2 linked regions of the Drosophila melanogaster genome follow. The protein of the gene in region 1 interacts with the protein of each later gene in a pairwise test. Each region holds a gene or a part of one and is shown on either strand. Other genes may lie near its edges.

Region 1 (7,034 bases):
GACCCCGAAATATGCGAATAATGAATGCGCTGGGCCCACGTGTCGTATACGTAATCAAGTATACGCAACTTTTGGGTTCCAAAAGCTAAGCAAAGGCAAGTATAAAACAAGTAGTAAGTTCTTAAATTAAATCATACCACACTTTATATCATATTTTGTACCAAACTGCCGGAAATGCCCGGCACTTCTCTAATCAAAAGTCCGTGGCCGTTGGTTTCGTTTCAACGTAAGTGGATTGTTGGCCAGAATGGTGGCTCGATGTCCGTAATTCGCTCAGACGGAGAATATCGTGTATGTGCGTGTGTGTGCTCAAGTTGGGCATTCCGTAGCTCCTGGTTCTGGTCGCTGGTCACTGCTTTTCGTCCAGGCCGCAACTGGAGTCCTCCTGACCAGCGAGGCGTCCCTTTTAGCCTTGGGTGGTACGCTCCGTTGTTCTTCTTTCTGATTTTGCTTTTTTTTCGTTTTGGCTTCTTTGCGCTACCAATTTTTGCGTGCGGCATGCAAAGGGCAGTCTGGAAAACTGTGGCAACTGAACTGAAAATAGCTGTGCACCAGCGGGCGTGGCAGGATATGCCGCCGCCCACACGCCACAAAACTTTCTAAAATACGAGAATACACGGCGCTTTGCGAAAATACCAGCTACAAAATTTCAGCTCAAATATGTGATGCAATTTGCTATGAGCAAATTATGTGACAAAGCAAAGGATTATTTGTGTTTTATAAAAGCGGGCTTTTAATTAAATAATTCAAATTTAATTAAGTTAAATATTATAGCCATGCCGTACAGTTTTTGATGCTTTTTGTTTGGCTTCAGAAACGTGGCACATAGTTTTTTCTGGTGCAGCGCGCAACGGGTTAACCGTCTGAATACTTTGAAAATTTATTACACACACATTGCAAGCGCACTTTTATTTCATTTCGGTCGATGGACGCCTTTTTATGGCCAACTCGAGGAGCGAATTAAGTGCAGCCGGCGCAGACAGGACCTTCCTGCACACACACACACACACATACACACACACACTTAAGCACACACACGACAGCCATTAGGCTGGAGATTAAATTTTTCATTTGAGCCAAAAAGGGCGCAGCCCGACCATAAAAGGATCTGTGTGTGGAGGCTGCAAAATTTCAAATTTATATCAATTGCGGTTACTCATTGACGCCTCCATGGCTGTGCGTCCCCCTCGCAGGCAAACGAGTCAAAGTTAATTGAATTTCCGCAGGTGAGGAGCTGGCTGTTCAGGTGTTTGTGCACAGACGCCGCTGCACGGGGCATTAATTATGCAGATGCCACACGAGCTGCAGGCGAACTTGATCCGGCCATCGAACCCAATCAATCTACACTGAAGATTCTGGCGCGCAAGACTTGTGATATGTGTCTTCAACATTCAACATATTGTCACAAAAGAATATCAATAAATAATGTGCCCTTGCGCCACTTAAAGTTCATCCAATTAGTATATATTTTACTCTACTTAAATTAGCTGCAGATAGTGGTATATACTTTTGTGGACGCTGCTGTTTTGCCTCGATAAGCCACGAATCGCTGACCGTTTTTGGTTAATCACTTCTCAATCGACAGCTAAAGGCAACACTTTGGGCACACAATTATCCTAATCCTTCGGTTGGCAGTCCTGCTGGCAATACCAGAGTCCCAATACAAATCCCAAACCCATTTCCATACGCAACTCGCATCTCCGCCAGCATTTCCATTCGCATGGCGAGGCGGTCGTGGAGGAAATGTAAGTGCAAAGTGGATTCCTTGACGGCTGCCTCGGGGGTTGCATCGCGTCATCGAGCTGCAGTCAAATAGCAGTAAGCTTCAACTATCCTCGTTCTGCTTTTCAGCCTCCTCGTCGTCGTGCCTGTCCTTTGCCGCCACCTCTGTCCCTGTGGGTTATTTGGGCGAGGGCAATGGCAACCGGATGCGGAACCAATTTAACGACGCCATTTCCGCGTCAGCCAGGCAACTGCAGAATCTCTGCGGCGACCATTGGCATCATGGATGTGGCATGACCCTGCCCACCTCCTTCCTCTTCCTGTCTGCCACAAAAATTCCCCTTACCATCGCTGAGTTTGTGATGTTGTTATGTTTGCCCCCACTCCCCACTCCCCCCTCCCCACATCCCTTCTACATGTTGTTGCTATTTTTGGTTGCCATTATTGATTTCCCAAATAAGTTTCGTGCCCGTCGCCGCAGTTTTAATAGCACAAACGGTTCATTAAAAATATAGCAAATTCAATTATGCTCACAGAATCATTTTTCTGCATTTTGGTTTTGCAGAATTTTAATGGAATCGCACAATATATGCAACTGAATTGTGAAAGATTTCATACATAACAGGTAAAATCTCACAATAGCTTATAAACTATAAAATAAAACTCACAACTTTCAGCAACTGAGCTACTCAATCAATTTTGACACAACATCTGAAATGCTTCTTAATTTCTATTTGTAACAAATCAAAAGGAACATTTTAAAGTATTTATTTTAAACAACTGAACTATATTATTTTTTTTAACTGCTACATTTGTGCCTGCTGTGTGCATATCAATTTATATTGCATTTTATGTAAGCCGTCAACATTTTAATCAAATAATCGAATGATTGAAAATGCTGACCATAAATTAAATTACGCACAAAGCTGAGTTCATTCTTTTGGAATTTTTCGCTGGCAACTTTTTAGTTTGTATGCCTGTGGTGCGCATATTAAACACGTCTCTCTTAATTTGTGAAATAAAATATTTAATGTTTTTCTTTGCAGATTCGAGGCATTTAACTTGTTTATTTTCCCGGAATAAATGTCTTACTGTGCGCATACGCAGGTCAAACTGAATTAAAACTGAAGGCCCCGTGGGGCTTTCAATTTTCTGTCCTATTTATTTTGAAAGAAAAACATGTCTATATTAATTTACAAAGTGTATAAAGCTATCTGTTATAGAAGCCCACACTACTCGAAATGAAAAAGTGAATTAAATTGAATTGTGAAAACACAGTTATTTTTAAAACCAGCTGATAAAATATAATTTGTGTGGCTTTTAAAGTTGACACACAACTGCATTAAGTACTTTTCAAATATCCCTTAATGCTAAAATAAATTCCGAAAAACAATCTAGCTGAACTGAGACGTTACGTTTGCCAGTAATAAATAACTTGCTTAACGCATTTGCAGGTTGAACCGCATTAAATTTGAAACCCCATCAGGATCCCCAGCCATTTCCGGTCGACCCGGCAGCAACGCGCCGTCTATTTCCGGTTGTGGATGCGATGCGCATTTATTACTCGCTTTCGCCCGATATCAGCTACCGACTTGACTTGGCCGCAATCGTTTAAGCCGTTTGAGCCAGCCGCAAGCAAACCGAGAGCAATCCCCCAAATTGCCGCCAAAGAACACTGGCATATATACACAGATATTTCGATAGAGACGTATATATACACATATATATATATATATAGATATTTATATGGAGTGGGAAGGGAGGTCCCATAACAAAGGACCTTGGCAAGCTGCTGGCATCCAATTGAATCCGGCATCAATTCAGACGACCCGGCGATGACATCCCAAACAAAAAGGGGCGGCGGAAAGTGGAAAAGCGGAAAAGCAGAAATGAAATGAATTATGTTAAGCATGCAAATTTGAATAAAAACAAACAAAAAAGTGACAAGGCAAAAAGAAACTGCAAACAGCGTAAAAAAAAAGAAAATATGAACTGAAAAATGAATGGAGAGAGAACTTAACTGGCAAGGACATGGACATGAACACAGGACTCCTGTCCTGCAAAAATCAACTGCCAATTGCAATTTGCCAGGCTGTGCGAATAAAACATTTTAACAACATTAACCACAGACACCAGGAATCGCACGAAAATAATGTGAAATGCGCATTTATATTAATGTAAAAAAAAAAGTATAAAACAATACACACTCTTTATTACTTTTAAGTCTTTAGGCTGGCGTACGAAATTAAGAATCTAGTTTCCTTTTAAATTCGCCCAAGGCTTTGTCAGAATTTTTCAAAATTGTTGTTTCTAAAAACTCGAACCTTCAACCTTTGCAAAGATGTTCACAATTTAACCACCATGGAATCGCCAGTCTGCACTTCACTGTCGACTCTCAGCGAGATGTCGCTCCAATCTCTGGGAATTGGAGTAGCTGGAAAGGGCCAAGCCATGTTGAAAAGCGAAACGGAAATCGATGCCCACGACTGGCAGTTGCTTCTCCACTCGATCCAGTCGCATATTCGCAAAAAATCCGATCTCTTGATAGCTGTCACCCACTTTCTGATCACCAAGGAGTACCGCCTGCGTTGCGCCATCAATTATTCAGCATCCGACGGAAGGCAGTTGGCTGGAGGATGTGGAACTGTGTGTGAGCAGCTGCCCGATCACTGGAATCGAGATGCCGATCGATACACTCTGAACTACACGGATGGTCTGGCCGGTCAGTATATCCTTATGGCCAAACTGAGTCGCAGGGATCTTGTGATCAGTCTGCAGAACTCGACCAGCAAACGAATGGCCATCGTCTGTCTGCAGCCGGAGCATCTCGTGAATTCCACCTGTAAGTCATCGATGGACAAGTGCATTCCGCGGCTGGACAAGTTCATAAAGAGACTGCGTGCCGAACTGGTGGATCCGGCGGTGCGGGGCACCAAAAGATTGGCCGAGATTGGACCGGCCTTTAATAGGAAAATTTGGAAAAGGGAGCTACCTGTACGAAATTCTGGCACTTCTAGAGTGGCCTTCAACATCGTCGAAAGCACCCATTCGCTGGAGTCTTAAAAGATGCAGAGCACACCATGCAATACAAACAAATATAAAATTATTAGCCTAGAATCGATATCGCATTTGGCTTATCTTACGAGTTTCTATATGTAAAACACTAGTTACTTCTACTTTTTGGTAGTAAAGAAAGAAAGAAAGATGTTTTGTGAATTGAGTAAGCAAAGCTAAGCTTATTAGATGCTTCTAGTGATTTTTTTTTTTTGCAATTTTTCGCATTTTCGGTAAGGGGTAACATCATCAAAATTTGCAAAAAATGGCTGAAAAATGGAATTCCCATTTTTGAACACAGTTCGATTGGGAATTTAAATACGAACTCAACGTGATATGACATTCCGTATTCAGACAATTATTTTTAAAGTTGTGGCCAAAAAACTGATTACTTTATGACGGATAATTAAATAATTATTTTAAATGAACAAAAAAAAAGTTAAAATATAGAGCAAAAGCTTAAAAGAGAGCATTGTAATATACTTTAAGCCCGCTGTTAAATTTTCCCAGATGCACATTACTCATACGCAATGTTGCATTTGGAAATGCAATTAAACGAATATAGTGAAATATTTATTTTCAGCTATAATCACTATTATTTTTGTGCACCTATTACATTCCTTTTGGGATCAGAGAATTGGTCAGTCGATATCCCTATGCATTTCATGATTGCGGTTGCTCGTTTTCGGTTGTGCTACCATTTTCGTCCTGCCACGAATTGTTGTCATTATTATGGTTGCTCCTCCGCGCTTTGTCCGCATTTATTATTTATTGTATTAATAATGCAGTCGCGTTGAAAATTTCATAATGTCCGGCGATGTCATTGAGTCAGCATTCGTGCCGCAGTCTCCTCTTATTTTTTACATTTGTTGTGTTTCAATTTTTGTTGCATATCTGCGGATGTATTATTGGATGTTGACAGTTTTGTTGTTGATGCAGCTGTGGTTGCGGCAAACTTGACGTTGATGGCCGCTTTGGTTCGGTTCGGTTTGGCTGGCTGGCTGGCTGGCTGAAACCAGAGGTACCGCAAAAAGAAAAACAATGCCAAAACCACCTCCGTTTTATGCAGTGAAATTAAAACCACTGCGTAATGGAATATGAATATCAAATTCAGACTCAGTGGCTAGCAAAGTGTTTCACCTCCAGTTGGATGGTTTTTTTTTGTCGAAGACCCAAACGATAGATACTGTAATGGAATGCCATTCGGTATAAGCTCGTTGATTAGGGTGGACCCGACTCTTTAAATGTTGCGGCATTTGTGGCAGAGACCATAATTTAAATAAATCATTTGTTTTGGTTTATAACAATTTAACCAAAATTTGTGTGTTGTTCGCCTTGTTTTCAATACAGTTGCATTAACAGTTAAGTGCTGTAATTTATTTCAACCATTACGCCCTGGGTTCATGCCATTGTGCGTCTGTGTGAGTGTTGCAGCATCATCATAAAATTCAATTAAACCGAAACGCACACAATCAAACAAAAGATCAAATTAAATGCCGGCTAGCAATTTACTTCGTTGATGTAAGGGGGCGGGGCAGCTAACCCACAGCAAAGCACATGTGTCGGTTGGGCTGGGTTTTCAATGTGTGTGTTGTGTGTACACAGCGAGAAATTTCGAATAACTCAGCTGATAGCTACGAAGCTACAACACTGCTAGCTGAAAAGTTTGTTCCTACTTAAAACATTACGTTGTAACTACAATAAACATTTCAAACACATTTTCTTTCAGTGTGCCCCTTCTACGTCTGTATGTATGCGTGTGGCATAGACAACGGCACGCATTGCGGTTTAACGCGCTTTTCATTACTTGGCGGGGATGAAGACGGCTGAATGGCTGCCAAAGGAACATCAAAGGCGGTGGCCACACAGACGTGAAAGGACATGGCAGCTGAACAGGAACAAGGACAACTTGCTGTGGTATTTTTACGACCATTTCAGTTTCGAAACGGCAATCGAAAAGCTTGTACAACCACACACACACACACACACACACACACAAGGCTATATGGGCGAATGTGGCTGTGCACCGAATATCATATAAAAGTCATTGGGACTTAGTTAAGCCAGCGATATTAACAAATGCCTTGCCATGAGGCTGCCAAGAAAGGCAAAGCAAAAAAAAAAAAAGAAAACCGGCATAGGGAGGATAATAAACCACGTCGGCCACAAAGGCCATAGAGCGACACTAAAATCCACATGTCACAGTGGACATTAGCGGCAGACCGGAAAACCAAAAAAGGGGAATTTTCCGCCGACAT
Region 2 (8,260 bases), on another chromosome or scaffold:
ATGTCACAACAAGGATCTCGAATTTTACTCAAAAAAACTTAACTTTTTGCAATAAAGAATCGAAACGATTAAACTTACTTCGAGTATGACCCAATAAATTTCTACTTGCAGAGGCAAGTAAGCAATATTTTATTACTTTGTATTATGGGTGTTACTTTTGATAATATTTCTGTTAAAGCATTTTTAAAAATTGCACCATTGTTTAATAGTCTAATCTCGATTGTATATCAATTTATTAAACATTCAATTGTCGGCCATTTATTTTCTTTATCCTCTTTTCTACTTGGGCCAAAGTTCTATAGATTCTAATCGCATTTTCGGTGAGCTGGGGATCCAAGTTGGGCCTAAACTTTTCGAATTGGTGCACAACTTAGTTAGGCCAACTAACTCCGTAAACTATGAGCTAGGCTACCGCACATCCCAGGCGAAGGCATAACCTGCTCAGTGCCGAAGGGATGTTCCACGCAAATTTAATAACCGATGCAGTCTGGGTGGTTTGGGTGCTACTCCGGATACCGGGTGGTTCTCAGGAAAAGCCAAGCATCAAGCGCTTAAGCTGTCTGCATGTGTTTGAAGCTGAAAGCGCCGAAATGTTTGCCAGCTTCTTCCTTTCATCATTCCCTTCACTTTTTCGACTCTCTTTTCTTTGGAAGTAAACTTAGTTTCAGGGAAAAGTGCATGAAAACCCTATTTTTCTGTTCAGAATAGTACTCCTTTTTGTGGAAATCCCATGCTGTTACATTTGTCAACACTTGAAATTCTGTTACAGAATTCAGTATTTAAGCAACTGTATGATTCGTTTGTCTTTTAACATTACATTTCCATTTAATAAGATAATTTTCTTTTCTTTAACGTTATATTTCTATTTCTATATAATGAAAGACTAACTTTAGGTATGAGGAGTGGTTAAGATCATTCCGAATTTATGATCTGCAGATCGTTTGAGCTTAAGCTACATATAAGAAATCACAGAACAAGCCCTTTAATTGGACATTTCATTGAATGGGAACGACTATTGCATGATAAATACCCAAAAGTGGGCACTAAATTTACCCAATGCTGATTTCGGCTCGTGTCTTTGGGTTGATTTAACCTAATAGTCGTGATGGTTTCTGGCTGATGGCGATTTATGGTCTTGAGGGATTTTTATGCGGCTCCCAGGGTTGCCAACTACTCGCTCTACTGTATTCGATAATATTTTATGTGTTTCTGTTTTTTTATTGCCTGCGATTACGAGACAGTTTTCTTTTCGGGACTTGGCACAAATCTACTGACAAAGACAATGGAGGAATTTCCTTTGGCGGATGTGGCAATTTAAGTGCTGGTTTGGCCAGGAATTTATGGTTTATGGATTTTGTCAAATTACAAGTTATTCTAGCCATCCTTTGCGAGCAACCTTTTGTCTATAGACTGTCAACACATTGTAGGCTTTTGCATTCGAGCGAGTAAGGAAATGGGAAGAATGCCTAGCATGTGCTTGTGTTTCTTGAGGCTCTTTGCATTGAAATTGCTCTCTGATGTTCCATACATTGTTTATTTGTTTACTTGCCTTATTTTATTGTTTGCTACCATAAAAGCATATCAATGTGCAAATTTTTATCGCCTAGCAGCTGGGCAACCATAAAGTGGAAATTATATCGAAGATTATGATTGTTATGGGCCCTACAACATCGAATTTATGAATGTCCAACGTAATAAATAAATATAAATTGAAAGCAGGAGAACGTGTATCTGTTGGTGGTAGGCAAATTGCCAATAAAAAGGCGTTAGCTTTTGATACTTGTGGAGAATTATACGGTGTTTCAAATTATGGTGAGTGTTTTGAATGACTCAAAATGTTCTGTCTTGCCAAAACTCAAAAATCAATCACAAAATACTTGCCATAAGATTGAATTAATCCATCTTAAACTTTCTGATTTCCGAGTTTTCCATTTTCAAAAACTTTCGGTTAATTGCACAAATGGCAAGCAATAGATATTTGAGCATTTGAGCTGATTTCCAAATACGTCGCCCCCAAACAATTCCAAATCCAATGGAAAATAAACCGGAAAGAGAATTGGAAACTAATTGGGGTGGAGTGGAGTTCGATGTTTTTGAAAAGAAATCAGGTAAAATTGCCAAGTGATTGTTTATGTTTGTGGGTGCTTGTGCGTCTGTAAACAATGAATATGCATGACTTGCCATGAACAGCCACACATGCAACAACAGAAATCGAGAAACAGGAAAGGCAACTTCAATTTGCGAAAGTGATATTCTGGTCGGAAGAAAAAAGGAGCAAAATGCCAGCGAGCATTAGAAAGAGATGGCTGGCACACTTCTTGATTGACATGCATAACGTTGATTAATTAATGCCGTCGATATGCCGATGACAGATGCTGTATTTCCTCCGCTCGAGCGGAAATAGAACTAAGTCGAGTTTCCTGGCTCTACTATCTTCGGCAGGAAAGTGAAGAGCGGCTTAACCCGTTTCATTTGCGAGATGTTTGCCATTCAGTTTACACAAATGAGAGTTTTTCGATTGAGGAATGCATTTCGAGTCCTTGCATCTTCACGAGGGTCTTCAGCCGTATAATCCGGCAATTAGTAAATGTCAAATTCCATGCTCTCATTGAAAGTCAAAATTTACAGCCTGCGAATCGCAGTTATATATTATCGGGCGGTCCAAGGAGACGGCCCCTGTAAATATGCAACGGAAATGGCAGCTACGCATGTGATTATGTTTCCTCTGTCTCCGAAGAGCGCATATATGTGCAGGAAGATGTTAACATTCATGTGCTACATACAAACTCGCCTGTAAGCGAGGCTAAGTCCTTGGCTTGATTAAAAGCCTTGTTCTGGCGATGAATTGTTGCCGCATACTTTGGAGCGTTCTTGTGGAACATACCTCGTATTTAAAGGTGGGCAAACTATCAAGTTTCTGATACCGTGGTGGAGATGTTAAAGTTCAGAAGTTTTTCACAAGTTGTCTATTGGAATTCATACGTGATGATAAGTTTGTATACTTATCGATAAGTGTTAAGTAGGCCTTTTTCCAAATTTCAAACATATACAAAAAAAAAAAAACAAACAGATAAGCATTTGAGTTGTACGTTTAACAAGCAAGTTGAAGTGCTCAGTCAAGATTTATAGCCTATCAGAACATATTTAATTCGAGAAAAAAAAGGTATATTTGGTAAGAAATATCAATACCAATGAATTTTAAAGTGTATTTTACAGCCAGAATAAGATGAATCTAACCTTGAAATCAGAAAAGGAGTCAAGTGCTAGCACTGCAGATAAAGTCTCGAAGCTCTACAGCGAGATAGCAAATATGAAAAGGGACTATGATGACTGGGCGAAAATTATGGAAAAGAGCCACTTAAAAGAACAAAACGAGATTAAGCTTTGGGAAAGGGCTATTGAAAAAGTTAAAGAAACGGTGAAAGACAACAGTGCCGAGACAACTTTTGATGTCAGGAATGACGAAAATGATATTTTTTTGACTATCGCGTACACGCCCACCCAATCAAAGTGCATAGAAATAAAAAACAGCGGCCACCTGATGAGCTTCACATTGCCCGACGCCTTGGAGTGGATTCAGATGAATATTGCAGGTCTAAAAGGATCAATAAAGAAAATCGTCCTTGATCAGTATTATGTGAATTCTCAACAAGAAATACTTCTCTGGACGCAAAAATATTTGAACAAAAAGGAAACAGCACTACCTCAAATCGCAATAGGAACTGAGGGACAGACCGAAATGAATGGTAATATGGTAAAGGCACGTGAAGGCCTTGCGGAACTTGTGAATCATAGCGAACCGGACTTAAATGCATTTATGCTGAAAGCAGAAGAGGACAGTGCTTTAATAAAAAACTTGACAGATGAAGTTCTTGATATGCTAAGTAAGCTTATAAGCTTTAATTCTGAAGTCTTGACAGATACAATAGTTGATGGTATTAGAAAAGAAATCGATGAGCTCTTGGAAAGACTTGGAGAAGGAAACAATACAGCTGAGACAGCCAAATACCCAACCAGCAACCAAAGAACTGGGAATTCTCCGAAAATGATCGCTCCTACTAAACATATTTCGAAAAATAAATACCACACTAAACATAACATCAAAGGTATGGAAAACGAATTGCCTACACTAGATACAAACAAAAAAGAACCGATGATGGTCGATTTGATGGATATAAGAAAGATTAAAGTCAAACTGATTGAATATAAAGCAAATGAAACCGGTGGCACTAAAAATGGATTAGCTGAAAAACAATCGAACCTTAGCAAATTAAGTGACATTCACCTAGCTGACAAATTTCCAGATCAAGTTAACTCGATCGAAAGTATTACAAATAAAATCGAATCGAATGCAAATGATAGCAATGAAATTAACCATAGGCAGGATTATTCCCTTCATATAAATTTTTTTATAAATTCTGCACAAAAGGTAACCATTTCTAGTATTGATTTAGAGAGAAAAGAAAACACTGTAGCAGCTGAAGATGAAACATCTGGAACACAACCTATTAAAATCAGTACAGAAAATGAATCAGGTGGCCATAAACTCAATTCAGAGCAAAATTCCAATAGCATTAAACGTCGATTCCAATTTCCGAAAGATTTACATGGGACCCAATCATTAGAGTTTGATTTAAAGGAATGTCTAGATCAATACACGAGTGGAGGTATGAAAGCTGCACCAGAAAAAATGATGAAACATAATGAATCCTCTGAACGGATGTCCAAGTCAAAATGTGAAAATGACTTGGTTTCCTGTCCTCCTTTTAAGAATATTTCATTTGACTTCAACGAAAACAAAGGAAAGATGAGAAACATTTTAGGACCATGTTGATCTGAGCGCAAGTCATTAAAAAAAAAAACTCCATTTATTAAAAATAATATGAAAACTAATCATGGTGCAGGGGATACAATTATAAAAGATAATCCCGACGCTTTACCAGACTATACATTTGGAAACACTGTGAATGAGAAAAACTGTACAGAAAGCCCACCAAAGAGTATTTCTAAAAATGAAAATAGTAGTACCATTAAAATAGAAATTGAGTCCGGGACAGAAAAAAAAATCCTGTACTTCGGATACACCTTTAGCGATGATTACAATCCACGTGTGCCATGATGTTACAAATTTCGATAATTCTTTTGATTTATCTGCGACTGATGATATGAAATCTATAATAACCAAAAACAAAACCTCGGGGCAAAATATGAAATAATATAATGACCATTCCGTTACGGAAGTAGAAATCAATATGCTTATATTCTTTATAAATTTATAATTTTGTACAATCCCCATAATGATGCTTTTATAATATTGTAAATTATAACACTAATATTTCTTAAAATTCGTTATACATAGATTATTTTAGAAGATTAATATTATTAAACGTTATATTTTTCTTTTGGATGAAATGAATATTATGAAAACTACCAAATATTCAATATATGCGTCACAACAAATAATTCTTCAATAAATATAATTTAAAAAAATTATATTTTCCAAGTGTTTTACCTAATTGATTGAATTTGTTTGTATTTCTTCTGCTGCCACATGCTGAGAAAGAATAGGTCCTTCTCTCCAAGTCCAAAATGTCACCGTCCCAAATGAATAATTAAACATAATTAGCTCTCATTAAACAGGGTACTTCCCCCGGAGCTGGCCAAAACCGAATACAAAACGCAGCTTCGACACACACGGTTGGCCAGCTGAGGGGCATTCTGGCCAAATCAAAGCGAATCAGCCCAGTTCGGTGAGGTCGGGGTCCGAAGTGGGATGTTGTGACCCCAATAAGTCAACTGCAATACATAAATTTCGACACAGCAGCCGGCTTGGATCAGGTGGGCAGTCCCAAACCCAAATACAAACCCAATTCGGAGGACTAGACCAAGTGTTTGCCATTTCGACTTTGGCAAATAAACCAGAGAATCGCTGAGGAAGGGGATAAACGGTGCGGAGCATTGCTGTGTTTAAGGAATTCCTGATTGACAATGTGGTCTTCATAGGGGTCCACCCACTTTTGTCGCCATTGCCGTTGGTCAAGAGCAAATTTGGCAATACAACAAAACGCCTTTAACCTTTGACAGGCCGCACACATTTGAGCACACAGTTGAGCGTTTTGTGGTCCTACGGTCAGGTCGAACATTAAAATTGATTACCCCAACAATTTGGTTAATGGATGACTCTGGGATTTTCGAGGTCTCAGGAGTTTTAAAAAAAATTAAGTTTCATAAGATACGAAGATACGATTTGTTGGAAACTGGTGGCATAACAAACAAAATCATTTTTTAAAAACAACAAAGACCTCTTTACTTTCATTTATTTTTCGATTATTTCGATTAATTAATATCTGGTCCATTGATATACTTTTATATGCTTATTATGTTATACATCCACTTTCCTTATCCACTACACTAGAAAGGGAAACATCTCACTGAAATCAATATGCCCTCTGCAAGGGTATAAAAATCAACCATATTTTCAGTATAAATATTTATATTGATATTTTCCTATTACGTCATGTTTACATTTAATGAGTATAAATTTAATTCCTACCTTAAGATTTAATATGTTCTTACATTTGGTGACGTTTCCTCTTCAACGCCGAATATCTCATAATCCGCATTGGCAGCCATTTAACATATGTTTAAGCCATGAAAATTAATATAAACGACAATTTCCGCATCGCCTCAAGCGTTTATATATAACCGCCGTCAAATGCTAATCGTGTAATCCTTTTTAAATGATTGCACATACAAACGGATATTAATATCATAAACAATTCACACATCCAACTACACAACATTCACACGCCGTGTAATTCTGTTTATTGCTTGAGGTTATTTAATATTCAATTTTCGGCTTCCATTTCTTGGTCATATCCTGGGAACCTCATAAAATGCGAAAACTCATAAAACCCATGGCTAACATATTTTTAATCTGCACATGGGTAAATGCTGCCAAAACCGACCGAAAAAAATACAATCTAGCAGCATGAATTTATCACGAGAATATTGTAAATACAAAATTGTTGGCGTGCTTTTTATTGAGTTCCGCTTAGGTGGTGGCGCAAATATATTGCTGGATATTTTTTTTAAACTTCATAGGTGCCAGGAAAGATCAGTCAGATATAAAAGATTTCAACATACTTAAAGTATAACCAACAACATTTAAACTTCAAATATAACCATTTGTACAACATGGCCCTGGAAAGTATTTGTGGTATGGATAAGCTGCCATTTATGAAGAGCTTTGGATATCGCACCTCGAAGCAGACAATTGAAGAAATCAGAGTCGCATCGAGTAACATGGATAATCCCCTCGCCATAATGGCTCCGCCATATGAAAATCCACGGGAAAGTGTGAAAAAACTGAATGCGCTAAGTGAAGTGCAGATAGATTTTGACCACGGAACCACCACGGTGGGTTTTGTTTACCAAGGTGGCATCATTTTGTGTGTGGATTCCAGAGCCACGTCGGGAAAGTTAATTGGATCTCAGAGCATACATAAGGTCGTACAGGTCAACCAGTACATAATGGGTACCACTGCAGGTGGTGCAGCGGATTGCACATACTGGGATCGAGCTTTGACCAGGGAGTGCCGACTGCACGAGCTCCGCTATAAGGAGCGACTTCCAGTCCAATCTGCTGCCAAATATATCTCCAACGTGGCTGCGGAATACAAGGGAATGGGTCTCTGCATGGGAATGATGCTGGCCGGTTGGTCGCCCGAAGGACCCAGTTTGGTATACGTGGACTCCAACGGCCTGCGGATCCATGGAAAGCTTTTCGCCGTGGGCAGTGGAGCCCCCAATGCCCTGGGAATTTTGGACTCTGACTACCGGTTGGATCTCAGTGATAACGAGGCCTACGACCTGGCCTTCCTTGCAGTATATCATGCTACCATGACAGATATCTTTTCAGGCGGTGTGGTGAGACTATATCACATGGATCAAGGAAACTGGAGGAATGTGGCCAATAAAGACTGCCAGGAACTGCATGAACAGTACTCAGGTGTGGGAAATCAACAAACTCCCTAAGTTCTGCACTTCATTTGGTTAGAGCGTTAAAGGTTTGTACTACGTTATCCATTTTCCGAATGAGTGAGTGACGGGAAACGAAAACACCACTTTTAGAACAAACATCTGCGTTTTACCAAATTAAGACCATCAAATAAATGCTGTTGACTTATTTATTTTCTAATTTGCGTACACGTTTTTAATTAGTGCGCCTTTTGTTTACTTAAATTTTCACTCAATTTTA

The links. The genes of interacting proteins can lie anywhere in the genome.
Region 2: the proteins of CG12729 (region 1) and CG5681 interact in a two-hybrid assay, tested with the Drosophila melanogaster proteins (one large-scale study listed by BioGRID).

Annotation. Positions count from the first base shown.
Region 1 is NC_004354.4:5,841,270-5,848,303, forward strand, and holds CG12729 (uncharacterized protein), read left to right. Parts: upstream 1-4,010; 5' UTR 4,011-4,083; coding exon 4,084-4,785; 3' UTR 4,786-4,837; downstream 4,838-7,034.
Region 2 is NT_033779.5:17,983,302-17,991,561, forward strand, and holds CG5681 (uncharacterized protein), read left to right. Parts: upstream 1-3,097; 5' UTR 3,098-3,163; intron 3,164-3,216; 5' UTR 3,217-3,226; coding exon 3,227-4,834; 3' UTR 4,835-5,318; downstream 5,319-8,260. Other genes in the region: Prosbeta5R2 (proteasome beta5 subunit-related 2), read left to right, coding at 7,198-8,037.